Caenorhabditis elegans: one gene and its partner. The protein of the gene in region 2 purifies or fractionates together with the protein of the main gene of each other region. This does not show direct contact. Each region holds a gene or a part of one and is shown on either strand. Other genes may lie near its edges. The genes, in order: spt-5 and cit-1.1.

Evidence for each region.
Region 1: the proteins of cit-1.1 (region 2) and spt-5 fractionate together in Caenorhabditis elegans (co-fractionation; one large-scale study listed by BioGRID). This does not show direct contact.

The regions. Positions count from the first base shown.
Region 1 is NC_003282.8:12,047,957-12,058,374, reverse strand, and holds spt-5 (Transcription elongation factor SPT5), read right to left. Parts: upstream 6,885-10,418; 5' UTR 6,879-6,884; coding exon 6,831-6,878; intron 6,702-6,830; coding exon 6,618-6,701; intron 6,569-6,617; coding exon 6,059-6,568; intron 6,010-6,058; coding exon 5,427-6,009; intron 5,381-5,426; coding exon 3,728-5,380; intron 3,677-3,727; coding exon 3,284-3,676; intron 3,229-3,283; coding exon 3,023-3,228; intron 2,975-3,022; coding exon 2,825-2,974; 3' UTR 2,629-2,824; downstream 1-2,628. Other genes in the region: K08E4.3 (uncharacterized protein), read right to left, coding at 4-139, 363-481, 555-627; K08E4.2 (Glycolipid transfer protein domain-containing protein), read left to right, coding at 1,734-1,855, 1,907-2,011, 2,059-2,157, 2,206-2,521; Beta-1,3-galactosyltransferase bre-5, read left to right, coding at 7,179-7,207, 7,305-7,401, 7,454-7,600, 7,651-7,839, 7,884-8,081, 8,135-8,443; T12G3.4 (Strictosidine synthase conserved region domain-containing protein), read right to left, coding at 8,516-9,335, 9,535-9,816, 9,866-10,107.
Region 2 is NC_003281.10:8,004,099-8,013,718, forward strand, and holds cit-1.1 (Cyclin-T1.1), read right to left. Parts: upstream 5,724-9,620; 5' UTR 5,705-5,723; coding exon 5,627-5,704; intron 5,577-5,626; coding exon 5,446-5,576; intron 5,391-5,445; coding exon 5,309-5,390; intron 5,260-5,308; coding exon 5,140-5,259; intron 5,012-5,139; coding exon 4,951-5,011; intron 4,909-4,950; coding exon 4,843-4,908; intron 4,793-4,842; coding exon 4,741-4,792; intron 4,692-4,740; coding exon 4,601-4,691; intron 4,502-4,600; coding exon 4,414-4,501; intron 4,030-4,413; coding exon 3,964-4,029; intron 3,905-3,963; coding exon 3,855-3,904; intron 3,806-3,854; coding exon 3,693-3,805; intron 3,619-3,692; coding exon 3,535-3,618; intron 3,165-3,534; coding exon 2,946-3,164; intron 2,491-2,945; coding exon 2,385-2,490; 3' UTR 1,835-2,384; downstream 1-1,834. Other genes in the region: C06G4.6 (uncharacterized protein), read left to right, coding at 362-452, 502-586, 1,149-1,206, 1,259-1,384, 1,540-1,737; cit-1.2 (Cyclin-T1.2), read left to right, coding at 6,691-6,777, 7,091-7,215, 7,415-7,677, 7,753-7,873, 7,929-8,612, 8,696-8,923, 9,028-9,187. UniProt on the Caenorhabditis elegans protein: Regulatory subunit of the cyclin-dependent kinase pair (CDK9/cyclin T) complex, also called positive transcription elongation factor B (P-TEFb), which is proposed to facilitate the transition from abortive to production elongation by phosphorylating the CTD (carboxy-terminal domain) of the large subunit of RNA polymerase II (RNAP II).

The DNA of each region.
Region 1 (10,418 bases), on a different chromosome or scaffold from region 2:
CACCAATCATTCCAGTAACCAAAGCCGTGGCGACAGGTCCTGAAACGATGCCTCCGTCTCTTTTCCTACGCGTTTTCTCAACAGCTGACCTGATAACTGATCTGCTTTTCGTTTTCGTCACATTTTGAACCTCGATCTGCTACAAACGAAAAAAAACAAGTTTTTGTTTTAAATAATTCATCACTCAATTGTTTCACTAAATTCTTCTAATTCTTCGGTCGAACGGCCGATTCCTAAATTGAATTGGTCAACCAATTTCGATTGGTATGTTGTAAAAAATAATTTGTTCGTTTTTTGTTCATACGTCATACCCGTTTTACAGTAAAGTGTGAAACATTGTCTCTTTTTTATGATGAACATACCGGGTGTTCATGATAGTGGTGTGAGAATTTTTCGGCGGCAATCACAGAGAGACGATCACGAATTTCTTTCTCATCGACCCAATTTGTTTCCTCAATTGATGCTTCCGAGGATTTTTCAACTGAATATAAAGATTACGTTGGCATAAATAATAAAGTCTAGATCTTGATATCTAAAATAAAACTTAGACCTACCGTAATCTGATACATATGAGTTGGCAAATGCGATGAGAAGAATAGATGTTAGAATTCGCAATAGAGTGTACATGTCTGAAAGTAAGTGACAAGTGATGATGAATTTGACGATGAGGTAAGTGAAAATGAGAAGAATTGAATGAGAGAGATCTCTAGAGATACTTGACAACGGCCTGTGATCGTCTCGTTCGACACAAAACGAAGAGGCGGAGGCATAGGGGACAGCTGTGATTGGGACGGGAGATGAGTCATTGTTTGAGTGAGGGGAGCGGGACGGGTTCATGACACCGGTTTAGGAAAAATTCAACAGTTATGTAGATGAGGTGTGCCATAGATGGTCGGATTATTTCTCGATCAATCCATAACATGACGGCAATCGAACCTTTGTAATGCGTTTCTTATTACAGAAATGCAAAATTTTGCGATTCATGTCACAAGAATACGGTATCTTATCTCGACACGATTGCAATTTTTAAAATGAATTCTGTGGAAAAGGGTGTGCGCCTTTAAGAATTACTGTAGTTTCTACACTCGCAGTTTACTTCGATGTTTTGCATATTTATTTTCTAGATTTAGGTTTTTCTTTAAATTTAAAGCACTCTTTACGTAAATTTACAAAAATCAGGCAGATTATAAAAGAAACAACGAAACAGTCAGAATCAGCGAGCAGTGCATACTACAGTACCCGTTGAAGGCGCACACGTTTTTTGCAAAAATTTTCCAATCATGCCGAGACCGGCATTCACTTATTGTGGCATTTCGAAATTAAAAACCTTAAAAATAATTTTCAAAAATCTTCTTGTAATAAGATTTGAAAGAAGTTAAAAAGTAGTTCAGTTCATATGTTCTAAACGAATGATCTACATATCATTATTTTCCCCCTTTCGCAATAAAATTCAGTTGTTTACTTGATTTCTTCTCCTCGAAAACAAACTGAATTATAACGGCAAAAATTTCTGCCAAAATCGATCTCTCGACCTCACAGAAAAGGAACAAATTCGCGGGGAATTTGTGTGTCAAAACCCCGAAAACAATGCTAAGCATTTGTTTCCGGCTCCAAAAGTGCAAATTTCCAAACAAAAAAAACTGTGTTTTTCTCTGTGCCCTCCAGTATTTTATTGCCTTTTTTGTGTTTGTTCTGATACATGGCAAGTTTTTTTTTTCAGCGTATTGTCCGAAATGGAACAGTTGGGCTCGGAGCCGGAGACCTATCAGATAATGAAAACAATAGAGAAATCGATCATCGAGAATGACAATGTCGATTTGGAACAATATCTGCTCTTTTGGGAGCATGTTTGCAAGTGAGTCACACAGATGTTCTAGAATTTTAACTCTGAATCATTCTATTTCAGCGTCATGTGCTCTTGGGGAACAATTTTCAGCTTTGTCGTGAAGGATGTCACTGCAAAATTGGAAAAGCTCACGCAAATGAGATCGTCGGATCCAGATTCTTACAGGTGAATATTTAATTTGTCGAAATATTTTTTCAATTCCTGATTTTCAGAACTATCATCGGAATGGCAACGAAGGAGTCGGAGAATGGAACTATTCGAAATCAGAAACCAAATAGAAGCGGCACTGGACATTTGATGGTTCTTAACAGGTATTCGTGGATTCGTAGAAGAGAAAATCAATGAGTTCATCATTTCAGAGCTCTTGAATTCGTCATCGATTTGCTGGATGGAGTGTTCACGTCGAATGATGAAAATGTATCGACAATCGCTCGTTCTTCTTATGACAAACATCTTTCTCAACTTCATTCTTGGCCAATCAGAACTGCTGTCGCTGCGGCTCTCTACACTTTGCCTCGAAAACCAGAATTTCTATGTAGACTTCGTGGTGATATGCCAGAGGACGATGATAATCAATTCCATGATATTTTCAATCGAGACGGACGAGATATTGTGCGAAGAGTGAACAAACTAGTTGAAAATTTCGAACTAACTGATTATAATCCTTCAGCCTGAATCTCTTTACTACCCTCTTCATTCTTGATCTCACAAAAAATATGTTCTCTGAAATTAAACTTTTCATTATATCTCTTGGTTGTACAACAAGTGTATTTGTTTTTGAAAAAGAAAAGCAGCAATCATTTTAAGAAATGTTTAATTCAAATAAAACAGTGTATAATAAATAAATAAATGAACGATTTTCAAAGGGTGACACCAAAAAATAGACACAACGAAGTGAAACTCGTCGAGTGTCGAATAACATTTGAACAGAAAAAAGCGAAGAAAAATTGGAGAATAAATAGTAAAGTGAACAACTTTTCAAGTTTCGCTATGCATTTTGCAGCACAATCCAATGTTGATGACTCGCATGTCTGACATGTCTTCCTGTGATCGGATAACTGCTTCGAATCCATCCATGGAAACAAGTTGTCCACTGTGACCTGCATCTTGTCCGAAAATCACTCGAGCCTTAAAGTTAACATTTCATTTAGCATTTTCAATTTAATATTTTCTTACATCATCTCCTGGTTGCGGTTTCATTGGAGTTAGCTGATCGAAATCAACTTCCAAGTTGCACTTGTGATCTGGCATGTAGACATCCACTTTTCCATCGGTAACATCTTTAATGATCGCCTCACGTCCGTTGAATCGCCCTTCGTGGTCCTTGATTTGCACACACAGATTCTGCACAATCCACACACCTTGAGCCAGGAAGTGGTCCGCTAAAAATAAGAAATTAGCTTCACTATAATTCAAATAAAATCTTGAGCAACTTACGAATTTGCTCAATAGCTCCATCGGCATTGTTGTAGTTGTTACTGTCGTAGCCAGCGAATGGAGAAGGCGCAACATATTGATCGTATGCTCCTCCACTTCCTGGCGTCATTGGAGCAGCGAATCCAGGTGTATCAACGTGATAGGCTCCCGGAGTTGCTGGATTGAGCATTGCACCTGGAGTTGGCACAACGTACGAGTGTGGAGGAGAATCATAAGTTGGAGACGAAGTGTCTCCGATGTCTTCCTCAACTTTTGTAGCTGCATCTGGTTCGTATGTCGGGCTGCTGTTCTCATATGTGTCGTATCCTGGAGTACGGGACACGAATGCTGGAGTTCTTGCTGGAGCATTGTCATACGCTTCAGGTGCATCGGGCTCGTATGCCGGACTCAACGCTAAACAATTAAAAATTAAAAATTGCAAAGATATGTAATGGTTCAACTCACGAATATCATAATCATTATTGTATGCTGGAGTTCTGGCGGAATGTTCGGATTCTGGATAGGCTGGAGTCTTACTGCTTGAATCATAGTTCGGAGTTCTCGATGGCATACTTTCATAGCCAGGCGTTCTTCCAGAATCATCATATGCAGGAGTTCTACTGTTGTCCATTGATCCGTATGCTGGAGTCCGTCCACCTTCCGTACTTCCATAGGCAGGAGTTCGTGCACCATCAGCACTACCGTAAGCAGGAGTTCTTGAACTGTCATTTCCATAGGCTGGAGTACGTGATGATGAATGTTCATCAAGATCTCCATATGCTGGAGTTTTGCTTCCATATGCAGGGGTACGTCCACCTTCTCCATACGCCGGTGTTCTTCCTCCATCATAAGCTGGAGTCATCGAGCCATACATCGGTGTTTGTGCTCCATACATCGGAGTCTTCGATCCATACATTGGAGTTTTGCCAGAGTCGCGCATCGGTGTCTTCGAAGAACTGTAGAACGAGCTTCCACCTCCACTTCCAGCTGTTATTCCAGTGTCTCCGACAACCATCACACGAGCACGATCGACAGAAATCGTTCTGCATTGTGTATGCAATTCGACACGAACTGTGTCTTCTGTGGCATCTCGAACAATTCCAAAGTGGCCCTTCATCGGACCTTTGATGATTCGAACATTTTTTCCAATGAGGGTAAGATCACGACGAACTTTTTGTTGATTTGCAGTTCCAAAATGACCACCACGTCCTCCTCCTCCACCTTGTCTCGGAGTTTGTCCACCACTGCTTCCACGACTTGACATACCATCTTGTGGAGAACGAGGAGTCATTCCTCCAGAAGAATGTCTTGGTGATGCCATAGGATTCGGTGAAGCCATTCGAGAAACCATCGGTGTACTGGTTGTTTTCTTAGCTCCTTGTAAAATCAGTTGTTTTGGTTTGCAAACCAAGACTCCTCCATTTTTAGTCACTTTGCGAGAATAAACGAAGACAGTTCCACGGAACGCATAGAGAACTTCTCCAACTGGATCCTCATCGGTTTCCCGCTCCTTTGCGTTTGGTCCTCCAATTACTTTTACCAGATCTTTAGCCTCGATGGAATTGTTTTGACTGTCGAGAACTTTCGCAAATCGAACGTCTTTTTTCGCTATAATAGCTTGTGGCTTTATACGATTCACAACTCCGTGCATGTTGAGAACTTCCAAATGTTCCTTCTCCAATCGAACAATTACTCCAACATTTCCTGTATGGTCGAGCTGTACAAGATCATGATATTGGAACTGTCCCAGTGAGTCCACTCCAGTTGTCACATCAGCACAAAGTTGCAAATCTCGTACACGAACTTTCAATTCTTCCATTCCAAGATCAGACAAAACTATGGCTGTGCTATCTTTTACTCGGACAATTAATCCAGTATGTCCTTCGTATCGTCCACTAATAACCTTTGCATGATCTCCTTCCTTGAAGTATTTCCTGAGCTCATGAGCGTTCAAAGTGATTGCTTCTTTCAAATCTTCTTGATCTGGCATCATCACAACCTTCGTCCCATCGACCGTCATCACTTTACCCCGAAGATTCACCAACTCTCCAGCTTTCACTTCGACGATATCTCCAGGAACAAATGGATTTTCTGTGTCTTTGAGAGAAGCCGTTTCCACTGAAAAAAAGTATTTTTAAAAAAGAATAAAGGAATAAAAACTTACATTCTCTCTTGAGATCATCGCTAGATTCTTGGAACTTTTCGAGTTCTCCAAGAGTTGGTTTAACACCATCAGCTTGAATTGCGTTTATGGGGAAGTACTTGTAGAGGAATCCTCGCCGGAAATGATTTCCTTCAAATACTAAGAAGTCTCCGTCCGTCACAATTTCTCCTCCAACTTCTTTGATGGTATCCTGATCAAATAACTTGGGCATTGGGCGTCTTTTCAGCTTATAGTTTTTATCAGCATCAGTTCTCATTGCTCCGCGCCGCTTCTGATAATCGACACGGGGAATCAATTTCAGGTTGACACGGTTCTGAGCGATATCCACAAGATCAACGACAGCCAGATCATCTTTGTACATTGTTCTTTTCAAACGAACATATGATCCGAGTTTCAACTGTGGAATGTCTTTGACAACTCTCAATACATCTACCATATCTTTGATGGGAACCATGGTTATAGTGAATTGATTGAGAGCTGAAAATCCTTCAATTGCAGACATGACGTGAGATTGTTTGAACGCCTCGATATAGATCATTCCTTTGAGTCCTTCCTTGACGACAACTGATTTGATTTGGAATGGCTATAAATTGATTAAATGCAATCATTATTACGGGACATTTATCAATTACCTCGTTTGTGTGCTCAACCGCAAGACATTTACGCATCAGATGCATCGCTACGAGTTTTTCCTCTCCCATGCGACATTTGACAATCCACAGGTTAGGATCCTTCGTGGATGGAAGATGAGAATTTTTTGAAATATCATCCATAGCTGAATCTTCGTCATCATATTGACTGTCGTTTTTGTCACCCTTGTACTTGTTCTCAAAGTATTTCTGGACTTCGTCTTCCGTCATGTTTTGGAACTTGTACCGATCTCTATTCCGTTGACTCAATTCCATTTCTTTCATCGCACGCTCAGCTTCCTCTCGCTCGTTCATTGCATTCATGCTTGGATCGTCTTCGTCATCGTAATCATTGTCGTCGTCTTCGTCTTCGTCGTCGACTTCAACATCCCAAGCAAGAAAATCTCGTCCAGAAGGAGCCTTATTCTTCCGTTTCTGCTTTTTAGATTTCTTGCTGGTCACGTTTTCATCTTCATCGTCATCGTCGTCATCATCATCGTCCGAGCCACTTTTCTGAAAAACCGACAGGATTGTAACTTTAAAATTAATTGTTTTCACTCACCTCACTCTCTGAAGCAAGTTTCCGCTTTCTGTCCTTCTTTGAATTTTTGATTTCAACATCTGAGCCATCATCATCGCTCAAAGTCTGTAAGAGGATAAAAATCGATAAATAAGTAAAGTCGCATAATTTGTGAATTTTCCATGAAAGCTTATTTGTTATTTTCGGCGAAATCGATCGAATCTCAAATCATAGAGTGAAAAATCGATAACTAACCGTGTCTTCTTCTTTGTTTGAGGCTGCATCACTTTCGTCAGAGGACATTGCTAACTGAAACATTTAAGTAAATTTCAAATAACTTGGGGCAGAGAAATGAGGAGGAACGCGTGTGATTTAGGACAACGCTTAAAAATTCAGAAAATTAGGCAAGAAGTAAATCAATCAATTGAAAAAATGATTAACTTTATAGGTATAAATGATTAGAAGAAATTAAGCGCAAAAAAGAAGAAGAAAATGAAGAAGAAATAAATTGTCGTCGGTTCCGATGCCCGGTACGCAATCTGGTGTTCACGTCCAAAACCCACAACTTGCCGCGCATTAAATATATATTTATTTAACATTTTAATGTTTTTATGCGTGCGGATTTTGAAAAGGTAGGAAATTCTCTGTGGATACGCTTGAAAAATCTCAAAGCTTTAAGAAGTATTGCTTTGCTCTTCAATTTCGCATAAATATTTAATTTCATTTCAGAAAATATCATGAACTTTCTTCGTTTCAAAAGCTTTTAATTTTCACGATTACGATTTTTCTTCTATGGGTACTTGGAGTTGTGGATAAGTTTAGAGAGGTACTTTATACGCCAGAAAAAATTATTTAAACATAATGATTATATTTTTCAGACGAGTTTTGGTGACTTCAGTTGGCCACTGGAAACGCGTAATTTACAATTGCGAAGCAAGTTTACAAAATATCCACAGTGCAAATTTTCTGGCAATGGACAAAAGATTATTATTATTATAATCAAGTCAAGTGCGAAAAATGGACCGGTTAGTATTTGCAGAAAATCAAATTTCTATTTAAAAAAAACAATATTCAGATGCGAGAGTCAGTAAGAAAGACGTGGGGAGTGTTTCGAATGATTGATGGAGTCGAAGTTATGCCAATCTTCATTGTGGGAAGAGTGGAAAATATGGAGATAATGAGAAGAATTGATGTAGAATCGGAGAAGTATAAGGATATTCTTGCAATATCAGACATAGATTCATATCGGAACAATACCTTAAAAGTTTGTTTTCTTGAACACTTTTCTCAATAAAAACCTAATTTCAGTTGTTTGGCGCCATTGACTACGCTGCGAATCCAAATCAATGCTCTTCTCCAGACTTTACCTTTCTGGTAGATGACGATTATTTGGTACATATCCCAAATCTTGTAAAATTCGCAAAAACTAAACAAAAAGAGGAACTTGTTTACGAAGGCTTCGTATTTGACACGTCACCATTCAGGCTTAAGATCCACAAACACAGCGTAAGTGCTTCAAGTAAAAAAAAAACCTATTTCCAAATTATTACAAGTTACAGATTTCGCTGAATGAGTATCCATTTTCACGATATCCTCCATACGTCTCCGCTGGCGCTGTCTTCCTCACTTCCGAAACCATTGCGCGATTCAGAAATTCAATTAGAAAACTGAAAATGTTTCCATTCGATGATGTCTTTACGGGTATTCTCGCCAAAACAGTGAATGTCGCAGCAACTCATAATGAGAACTTCATCTTCTGGTGTCGACGAGTGTCTCAAAAAGAATGGGATGATGGTGTAATTGCAGTTCATGGATATGCCAGGAAAGATCTTGAATACGAGTATAGCCAGTTAAACGGGTTCGAATAAATTGTATTTTGAATTTTTTTCATATAATTTTCAACATATCAATAGAGATCGTAAGAAATAAAAATTAAATATTCAAAGTTTAGCTCGAGCAATATAATAGTTAACATCACTTCCCAGAAGCATTCTTCCTTTTCCATCGTCAATCGCAATTGAGACGGCTTCAACTCGTCCTGTTTGATCATGATACGACTCGATGATTTGACCAGTTTCCGTGTTGACTTTGATAACAAGACCTTCTACATCAGCGACATAATTAGCAACATATCCAAGAGCTTGTGGAGATAGAATTTTAGTGATAAATTCTCGAACTGATGGATTTTGTTCAAGGAATCGGTCTTCTTCGGAACGATGTGATGCGATTGGAATGAGAAGGTGCCCGGATTTTGTAAGACGAATGTTATCCGGATATCCAGGAAGATTTTCAATAAGCGGTGAAGTTTTAACAGGTGCTGTTGAATAATGATCTCTTGGAACCCAAATCTGCATAACTCGAGCTAATCCCATTTCACTGTAGAGCACCCGCCATGGAGCATTCTTTCCCATTCCTTTTTCAATGCTTAATTGAACTCCATTCGGGAAATATAGCCCATCTTTCAGTACTCTCAAATCTTTCTTTCTTGGATCATAAATCAAGAGACGACCATTTGGACGATGTTCGAAGAGATCCAGAATGAAATCACGATCGTCGAATTTCGTTGATGATTCGGTGAAAATAACTCTTCCATCGGGAAGAATATCCAAATCATTCAAATATTTGATTGGAGCAGCATTTTCGTTGTTTGCAGGCAATTCTCCAGCTCCGAGGATTTTCACAACTTTCTCCTCTTGCCAATTTATAGCGAACAATCCCAAATACGCATCAGCAATGACCAGCTCGCCGACGTCGCTCAATCTGAAAATATTTGTATTAACAAAATTTATTTTTAAAAAGCAAATCATGAAACCCCGACATTAATATCTCTTCACTTTCAAAATATTTGATTTGTTGTACTCATGACGAATCGAATTTGCATATCTTATCTTATCACAATGATAATAAAGAAAGATTCTTCCCCCCCGCCCCCCCCCCCCCCACCCCATCTACATCTAACCTCAATCCGAGCGGACGCCCACACAAATTCATTTTTTTGTAGGAACCATCACAATCATGATTTCCCTGAGCAAGTTGAACAGCATGAACAATCTTTTCTCTTCCTTCTTTCATATCGATTTCCGCAATTATTCCAGTCTTGAATCCAGCATACAGTTTACTATTTTTCTCGTCAAGAACAAGTGACTCCGGGCCGTATACTTGATCTACAAGGAGAAGTTCTGCATCGGTTAGTCGCTTATTGACAGCAAGAACTCCTTCCAACGGAATCTTGTCGCCGAGACTGAAAAAAAATTGAATAAATAAATGTTAAGAATTCTAATAAAACATACTCAAACTCGACTGCTTTGATGGGTGCATTGATGATCCGATTCGTCAGAAGGCCTGCGATAATCAAAGATCCCAGAAGTCCGAGCACGATTTTCACCGGTGTGCTTCCCAGAATCCGGAGAATTAATCCAGGTTTCTGTGACTTCGGAACCTTTTTATGTTTCTTCTCTGGCAGTGGTACCACTCTTCCACCGTCATCATCTTCTCCACGTCTTCTTCTGACGCTTCCGTCTGATTTCTTCATCTGTTTCTGAAGCTGAATAATAAAATTTTTGTAGGAAACGATGAGTATGAGTAAGAAAAAGCGGGTGACTGGTATTGAGAAAGGCGAATAGAACGGTGAAGTGTGTTTACATTTTTGAGACGCAGGTATTGTAGGAGAGGTCACTTTTGGAAGCAAACATTTGCAAAGAACCAAAGATGGTATCGCGACGTATCGAAGATGAAGCTAGGATATTTTTCTATTCCAATTGTAATTTTTTTAATTTGTGAACGGAATTTTGAGGGAACAGATTCTGTTGCAAAAATATGTGAACAAAACAAGTGAAATTATTT
Region 2 (9,620 bases):
CTCCTCCTTTTAAAAAATTGGAAAACTTTCCGATTTTTTCTGTAGATGCTTTAAAATATATCAACTCTTGGAGCCTACTTGAATATTGAAACTACTGTAATCGTATCAAAATGTACTACATTTGCAAAATGCATTTGATCAATTTAATTTTTTTCGTTCAATTTTCTCCAAAAAAATGGAATAGTAAAAACGTCATAGAGTACATATACAAACATTCCATTCATTCTATACAAAACCAATTGAGGGCCGAGAAATTGAAAAAGCATACAAAAAAGATGCAGGCACTCCTTGATTTCACCATTTACATATCACCTTCGACAATATTCATATTTTCTGAAACTTTTTTATTGGAAAGAGGATAATGATTTATTCAATTGTTTTTGGTATTCTTATTATGATGGAGTCAACCGTTTTAGGATGTCCACCACAGCCAAATGGAAATTGTTATTACGGTAATTGATTAGGTTATTACTGAAATAGCATGAATTAAGCTAATTTTAGGTCAGTACATGCTTTCAAATAGTCAAGGAGGTTTTCAGAATCAGCAGTGCGGGTCGGCGATCAATAGGGATTGGTGTGCAGTATCGTATGTTTTTTTTTGTTAGAAAAAATTGAAAAATGTATAATTGTGTTGTGTTAAGAAAAACTAATTTTTGGTCATTTTTTGGTCGGGTGTACCTGTCTGCTTACCGAATATTGTAGATCTAAGTCAGAAAATTCAAATATATACTTTTAAAAACATGTTTTATTGAATACCACTTTTCCCATAAACTTTGAGCTCTTCACCCTTTTGAAGACTAATTTTGGATACCCCCTCTCACTTGTATGAACTGGTATTCATTATTTGCACACAAACATACAACTCCAGAATGAGGTACTTGATGTCGTTGACTCTACAATTCACTTTCAATTATTCTCATCATTCATTTCAATATGTTTACTCCTTCTTCATACTACAATCAACCATCATTTAATTCGTTTTCTTCAGCCTATCCGAGGTGATTTGGATCATCTTTTTTGATGATAAAACCCAACATTGGGTCAAAAGAGAATTTAATATTTTAGTGAAAACTGAACCAAACTTATATATTCAATAAATATAAAACATTTGGTAGATCACTTTAAAATCCAAATTTATTTTTCTACAGCTACCAACCAGCAACTCAGCAAGCAAACTTTGGGTGTGCATCCAATTTTCCCATAAATGTGAGCACTAAGCTTTTAGTCGGAAAAGTGAGCTACCGTAAAACTATTTTAGGTCGGTGGATCAGTTTGTGGTGAAGGTGCTGGATTTGTGAATCAACAAGGTTGTAGTATGGTCAATACACCAAATGGACCATGTTACTTTTGTTGTTGTAAAGGGGGAAGTTGTAATAATCCTCAGGTACGTTATTTTTTCAGTATGAGAATGGTTATGTATGTAGTGTCTTAAATGGAATTCGAAAAATGTACTGTTAAAAACTACTGAAAATAAGAATTTGATTTTCACTTGCTATAACCCCAAGTTTGAATTTTTCAATTTCCTTATTTTAATTACAGATATTTGCTCGAGAAGCTTCGAAACTTCCAATAAATCAGCAACAAATGCAAACATACAATCCAAATGGATATAATCCATATTCAAGACAAAATTATTATCCAATTCCTTGGTATAATACAGCTTCTCAACCTTCCAATCCATTTTTCCTTATTGTCATTATTCTTATTATATTTTTAATTCTCTCGTATTCTGCTTAAAATCATCGTTTTTTTTTTCTAAAGATCTCTTTTTTTTATTTTATCCCCAAATCTTGATGAGATTCTCCCATTTATTGGTAATTAATTTTCAATTCAATTGTTTTAAAAACCATTCATTATGTACTAAATTTCGATAATGCTACAGTACAGAATGAAGATGAACAGAAAAATTGCAGTTTCAATTGATATAACTCGGAAACAAAACAAATGCCATGCAAATGAGAAAAAAATTTCACAGACAAGTCTCACAGTGAGAGGAGGAAAGAATCAACAAGGGATGATGATGATGATGAAAAATTGAATTTCTCAAGTGAGAAAAACTATTGAAACCGGTGGGTTTTTGTAACTTTCGAGGAATTTTGTGCTTAACGATGGGCGTAAAAAGAATACATTGAAATGCTAGGGAATCGGGGTTTCATAAGCTAAATCTTTTCAAAAACATATTTTAGAAAGTAAACAACAAAAGGAAATAAAAATGAACAGATCAAATAAATTAGCAAAGAAAGAAACGGTAAATGGGGGCAAGGCAGAGATTTTGTGGATTGATATTCAAATATTGAGCCAAAAATAGATAAAAATAAACATCTGTAGCTAGATTTTTGGATAAGAAAGGAGATACAACTAATAAAAATACGAACTAAAAATAATTATTCTAGTTCACCATCTTCCAAATCCATATCTGAATTATCAGCACTTTGGAGCTTTGGAGCAGTTGGTGGTGTAAGCATTGGAGCCACGTCGAATGTTCGAGCACTAAAATTAATTTTAGGTATTTCTAAAGAAATGTATACATTTTTATTTCAAAATAAAATGTTACATTCTCCACCAGCTCATTCGAATCTAAAAAATTTGTGGCAAAGAATCAATATTTTCTGAAGGTTAATAAAACTCAGTTAGGTTTTTAAAAATTTTAAGTATGATTGTTGCCTGATGAATAAATATAAATAAATAAAGTATGGTATGATAATTAAAATAATTTTTTAATTCGAAACAAATGGATCTCGAACAAAATTTTAAATTTGAAATTACGAAAAGTTAGACTTTTGAAAAATAAATCTTCTAACTTAAGCATTTTCTAGCTTTCCCAGGAAATGCCAAGAATCTAGAAAACAGTGATTTTTTAAAGCTGTCTAGGATACAACGTATTTTTTAAACCTATTATTGTATCCGTTTTTTAAAAAATAATATTGCTCTAATGAAATGTGTACCTGGGCACAAACGCTGGCGAAACCGAAGAATTTGTATGATTATTCTCATGATTCTTTCGATTAATCTGATTTTTGTGATTATATCCAGATGACACGATTGGTGGTGGCGGAAAATTAAGCTGTGGAGGTATTGGAGGTGGGGCCAATTTTCCATTTGATGACGATGATGAAGATACGAAATTGTTGGCAAGTGGATCTATTCGAGCACGCTTTTCACTACTGAAAATTCAATTAACAGTTATTTTTAAATGTAATTATTCACAATCTGAACTTTTTTTTTTGTAAATTGTTGATATTATACTAATAAGTATAATATACTTTGAAAAACATTTTTAATTAATAATATTCTGTGATACTTTATTTGTTCTAAAACATTTTCAAACAGTTTTCATTAATTTTCGATTTTTTAAAAAACAATTGACATAAAAATATGGTAACGTAAAATTTTAAATTTTAAAAGGTGAAACGAGATTCTAAACTTCAAAATGACCAATGAAAAAGTCTTGCATGCAATACTAGTTTTAGTAAAATATACTGTATGGTTTTCATTGGAGAATTTTTAAGACCCGTTTTAATATGAAAGCCGAACCTCGTTGAACTGTCAAGTTTTCCAGCCATTCGATCTCGTTCTCGTTTCCGACGTTCTTCTTCCACACCTCGTTCTTTGTTTAATCTGGAAAAATTAAACAAAATTGTTTTATTTTTAATATTCTTAGCTGGCTGTACTTATTTCAAAACAAATCTAACCTTTCAACTGTCAATTCATCTCTCGGAACGTATGCTCTCGGTCGTACATTTACTGTAGAATCAGGTACATGATGAACCATTGGACTATGACTTCTGGCATCTCTCGTACGATCCTGAATACGTTTTTTTGCATTTTCCTCGATATTTCTTAAAACAACTTACTAATTTCCGTACGTCTGGATTCTCCAGCATAGGACGATGTTCACGGAAGTCTGAAACTTTAATTGGAATGCATCAAGACTTAAAATTAATTTTTTTAAAAGTAACTTACTGAATTTGGAAGCATGGTGAAATTGACAGGAATTCCGATATGTTACAAGGAAATCTACTTCCATTTCTGAAAAAAAAACCATTTTTCATAAATATTTTAATAACATGTTGTCTTGCTTAAATAGGGATTTCGCTTTAAAAAAAACCAAAAATCGAACTTTTAAAACTGCTCCTGAGTACGCTCTAAATGATTTTTTTTTTAAATTTAAGCCTATTCTGGCAATTTCAAGCAAAATTCACGATACTCCACCGTAAATTCTATTTTTTTTAACGAAACTTTATACTTAAAAAAAAACTTTAAAATGTATTTTATTTCAAAAACATTCAGGATTTATTTTTACAGCTCAAAAACCTTCTCACTAAAAAATTGATTAAATTTCGAGCATCCATAAATCAAAATTTGATGCACTTTAAATGTCGTTTTTTTTTGTTAAATTCGAATTTTACGAACCTCTCAGCTTCTCGTTCGTCATTGTTTCGTCAAATTTCGCATACCACGGTGAATCTTCATTGATGAAATCGGCAAATAATCGCTCTATCTGAAATTTAGATTAATTGTTAATGATTATTTTACTTTTCAAAAATTTTTGGAAATCTTTCTCTAAGCAATTTTACTACCATTTTTTTCTAAATCTCACCCGGACATTGGCATAGGCTGCCATTAAATGAATAATTACAATAGACATTGACGCTGCAGAATATCGAAGTGACCAGTCTGTTACAGCTATTCTGAAATTTAAAAATTATTACATTTGAATTTATGATTTTGAAAACATACACGTCTGTGGCAAAATAGTAGGCGCAAGATGTCAAAGGTCGATAATGCTCTTCTGAAAATAATGTTCAGTTATTTGTTTTCTTTTCAAAATTAACAATTTACTTTTATCAACTTTTTTCATGATATCCAGAACATAAATATGAGGAAGATGAACGTTGAGATCGAATGCTGAAATTTTTATATTTAAAAGTAATCTGATAAAGTTCTTACCGATTGTCTGTAGAATCATGCTCTCCAGAAGAACAATAATTTGGGCTGCTTCATTCCTAGCCTGAAAAATCACGAAATCGGGTTTCTAAAGTTTGACCCGTGAAATTTGTATTGCAATTGTGCTTTCTAGTGTTTTTAGAAATACAAATAGGGGAAAAAATCTTTAAAAACCTTAATTTCTATACTCACAGTTTCCGTCGTCAATTGTTTTCTATCCTTTCGCTCCCGCCATACACTGATCACATGTGATAATTTTCTTGGACACTCCTGACTTTTACCCGCTAAAAATACACAAGCAGCACCTACGTCCTGAAATGGATTTTTAAAAATTTTTTCAATTTACGGATAAAGGTCTTACTCTATAATCATACTTTTTGAAGCTATGCAAATAATAAAAGCGATGCATATGTGTATGTGCAACGCAAAGACCCGTGTGACCGCTGAAAAAGCATTTTCAAGAACATTTTTTGATAAAGTTTTCGTTGTAAAAGTTACATTTTCATTTTTGGATCTTTAACATTGTTCAATCCATCTATCATTTCTTGGATGAACGCGGCGGCCATTTGTCGGGAGGCTAGTTCTTCTTCTCTGCTCATTCCTTCTTGAATGCTCGCTGTCTTTTTCATCTTAAAAATTCAAAATATTAATTATTGAGTTTTAATTCTAATTTTCGCACCTCCTCTTTGGTGAAGAGCCATTTGGTTGGCGCGGTCCGATGTGCTGGGGAAGCCGCGCCTCGACTCGACACCGACATCGCATTTGAGTTTAATTCTCTAAAAATCTGAATAAATTTCCAGAGTTCCCCAAAAAATTACACATTATTTGATTTTTCACTGTCATAAAATAAAAAATTCCGGTGAAAAGCTTCACAAAAATCCAGTTTTAATGTGAAACCTGGACGACACAAGCGCGCTCAAGCGGACGCGCTGCGTGTCGCGTCGCGGCAGGCAAAGCTTTTTTTCTGAGTCACCTACCCATTTTCAGCCGATTTTCAGTTAAATTTTATCGATTTTCTGTATTTTTCAAGCGTAAGTGTTGCATTATCACGTGCTTTTCAGCTCACATGTATTTTTGACATTGAACATTGAGTGAAAATCCTTTTTTGCATCACTAACACCATTTTTCCTTGTTTTCTGAAAAACACTGTTCATTTTTCGATTTCGCCGAAAAACTCTAACGTTTTTGTGATTTTTTAAGTAATTTAACTTATTTTGAACCAGAAAATCATAGGTTTGCCAAGATTTGCAACGGGTCCCGGGAGAAAATTACGTTTTTCTAGAGTGCTATTGCTAATTTTTATATTCTCGGATTTTCAATTTCTCAATAGCACAATTTGGATGTTCGTGTTTTATATGCGCTAATCAGTGGATCGATCTGTATTCGTGCAAATTCAGCTAGGTATTATCGAATAAAACCGTTCCAGAATTATGAAATATTTCGAAATTTAAGTTTATTCTGCTCATGTGATAGTTGTTTTCTAGTTTCCTTTATGTCTTGACGATTGTTCGGTATCCTGACCGGATATTGCCAGGAGATAATTCTGTAAATGGCCACTACGAATTTTTGTCTTTCCTAGGTAATATCGATTTTTGGACGCTGTCCCGTCGCTTATTCCTCCTTCTCCTCCCTCAGCAATTCCATTTCATTCATCGATTATTTGTATCTATTTATTGTTTTTATCGTGTTTCGTCGTGAACATTTGATATTCTTTTTTATATATTTTTTTCAGCATTGATCAGTATGTCGAATTCGAACAAATTGATCGCAGAGAAGAATGGGTCCAGATATGGCAGAATGATTCATCCTTGGCTCCGAAAAAAGCAAGATGTATGTTTTCTTTTTATTTTTCCAATTTATTGGTAAAAAATTTCCCAATTATCCAGAAAAAGTAAATTTTTGGTGGTTTTTCGTAAAATAATTTTCCGGGTCCTTGTGCTCGTACATAAAAACTCTAACATATATTTTCATCGAATTGTATTTAGTACATGCTGACATTAGAATTTTAGGAGATTCCACCAATCGGGGAACATTTGAAAACGAGCAACACTAAAAAAAATTCACTGATGGTTGTTCAAAATTTTCCAGCATTATTGGGACCTAATCGATAATACCGTTCAGTGTTCAAATGTTTAATTTTTAGATGTTGGCGGACACTCCAAGTCGACGAGAAGGAATGACATACGAGGAGGAGCTGTCAAAACGACAACAAGGAGGAGTCTTCATCTTTGACATTGCCATGCAATTGACACATGGCAAAGGAGAGCAGTGAGTGCAGTGATAGGATAAAGATTTAGAATCGAGTGAATTTCAAGTGAGGCGAATTGTAAAATTTAGGATTTAGATGGGTTCATATAGTTTTACAATTCATAAAAACGCCATCTCTTGTGATCATTTCTTTCGCTTCCTAATCTTTTCGAGACAATGTCTTGATTCTCTCCTCATCGAGCACTGCGATATATTCCAGCGGTCTGAGTGGAGTGGCGGCAACTCTGTTTAACCGATTCTTCAACGTTCACTCGCTCAAACGGTGTGATTTCCGAGACGTGGCGGCAGCATGTGTCTTTTTGGCAGGAAAGAACGAAGATGCACCCAAGAAGCTGAAATATGTGGTTACACAACTGTGGCAGTTCAAATATCCACACAATAAGCAGTTTCAATCAGAGCAACACTTCTTAGATCAGTGTAATGTCGTCACGTTAATAGAGGATGTACTTCTCAAAACCATTTGTAAGTTCTTTATCAATATCCTTCCGAACTGACTTTTCTATTAAAAAATAGTATTTTTTCATTTTGTATTTTCAGCCTTCGATATCAATGTAGATCTACCTCATCAGTATGTTCTAAAATTAATGCGCGATGTCGAGAAAGGTAGAAATGTATACAAGGATATGGTGAAAACTGCATATTACATGGCCACTGATGTGTAAGTTTTCTTTAATTGACTTGAGCCAACTATTACAACTAATATAATTTTTCAGATTAATAATCACCGACTGGAGTGTGCGATACTCATGTGCTTCAATAGCAACTGCTTGCGTAAACATAGCTGCCTTCTTTCATAACATCAACATGGACGATATCGTTCCATTTGAGTTATCTGATAGGTGGTACCGACTAGAAGATCAGTCAATGACTCGTGAAGAAGTTGAGGCCATGACTAAGGAATTCCTAGATATCTTCAGCCGAAATCCACAATTCCACATTGGGTCTCTTAAAAAGATTGATCCACTCGGAAAGGTTAAAATTGTCGGAATGCCGCCACAAGTCTCATCTACAGTAACACCTTCTGGATCGTCGTCTAATCTCAAGAAAATCGATTTGGAGTCATATAAAGGCCGACCGAAGCCACTTTCCAATTCTTCTGATTCGCCTTCAACGCGACCGAGTTTCCTGCCAGATGTAAAGAATCAGAAGGTAGTCGAGCAAGAGTTGATGGAACAAAGGATGAAAGAAGCTGCTCAGCAGAAAATTCATCGTAACGGACACCGTCCCAGCAGCAGTTCTCATCCTCTTCACCACCATTCTACGTCTTCATCAGCTTCAAACAATAGCAATCATCAGAATAGGTCCTCATCCGGTCTATCGGCACACCAACATCAGAAGCCATACAACGAAGATTCTCGATCAGCGAAAAGGTCAATGATGTACGAAGAGACGAATAGGTACGCTTGATAATGTTTTCCCTCCATGAACATACCTCAACAGATCTGAAAAGTCTAAAATGTATAATACTAAACTTTTTCAGTTCGAAAAAACCAAGGATCGATTACAAGATGAGTTTCGTTGCTTCGTCATCAACAACCATAGCTACTATGCACAATGATCATTTTTCGCAAACGACGCACCAGCAAAACATTTCAACATATGCTCGAGGAGTAAACGAAATGATGTTAAATCAAGTCGCTCCGCCTCCTCTCATGTCGGTATCTGCCCAACCTTCCACATATCAAAAAATGTGTATGGAGTATCAACGGTAAGTTAAATTAAAAGCAACACTTATCAGTTTTAACAAGTTAATTGAAAGACGACTTGGAGTTAGCTTGGAAAATGATTAATATAATCTTTCCTCAGTTGCAGAAATCCGGCCGATTCTCGACATACGATGTCATCAACGCAACAAATATCACCTCCTGATGAGCCTTCCCCACCTGTATCACAGATACTACTGCCGCCACCTCCACCGCCGCCAATCTTGCCACCCCGGCTGGATGAGATGGAGGAAGGGGAGCTCGTTTAAGAGCTTCCCTCACTGTTATTTCCGTTTCTTCTACTTTGCTCTTTATTTGGGTTCAATTCCTGATGTACAGTAGGTTTTCTTTCCGCATTTTTATTCAATGTTTCTTTTTTCCTCTTCATTTTTTTTCCTTTTTCCTTCTCTTGTCCTTCCTCGTTCTCACCGGTTTCCACTCTTGTTGTCGACTTTTAGATACTATTCTCACCTTTTTTTCTTTCTTTTCATATTTCTATCTTATCAAATAATGATCTCGATCCTCTCGTTTCGTTTTTTATCAGTTTCACTGTCTTCCTTATTTTTCATTTGATTTGTTTCAACGGTATTATTTTCCTTTTTTGGCAACTAAATCTACGGGATAAACTAAAAAAATACAAAAAAAGTCTTTATCTATCTTGACTCTTCCCGCTTTTCGATGTTTCAGACTTCGTTTCCTTAT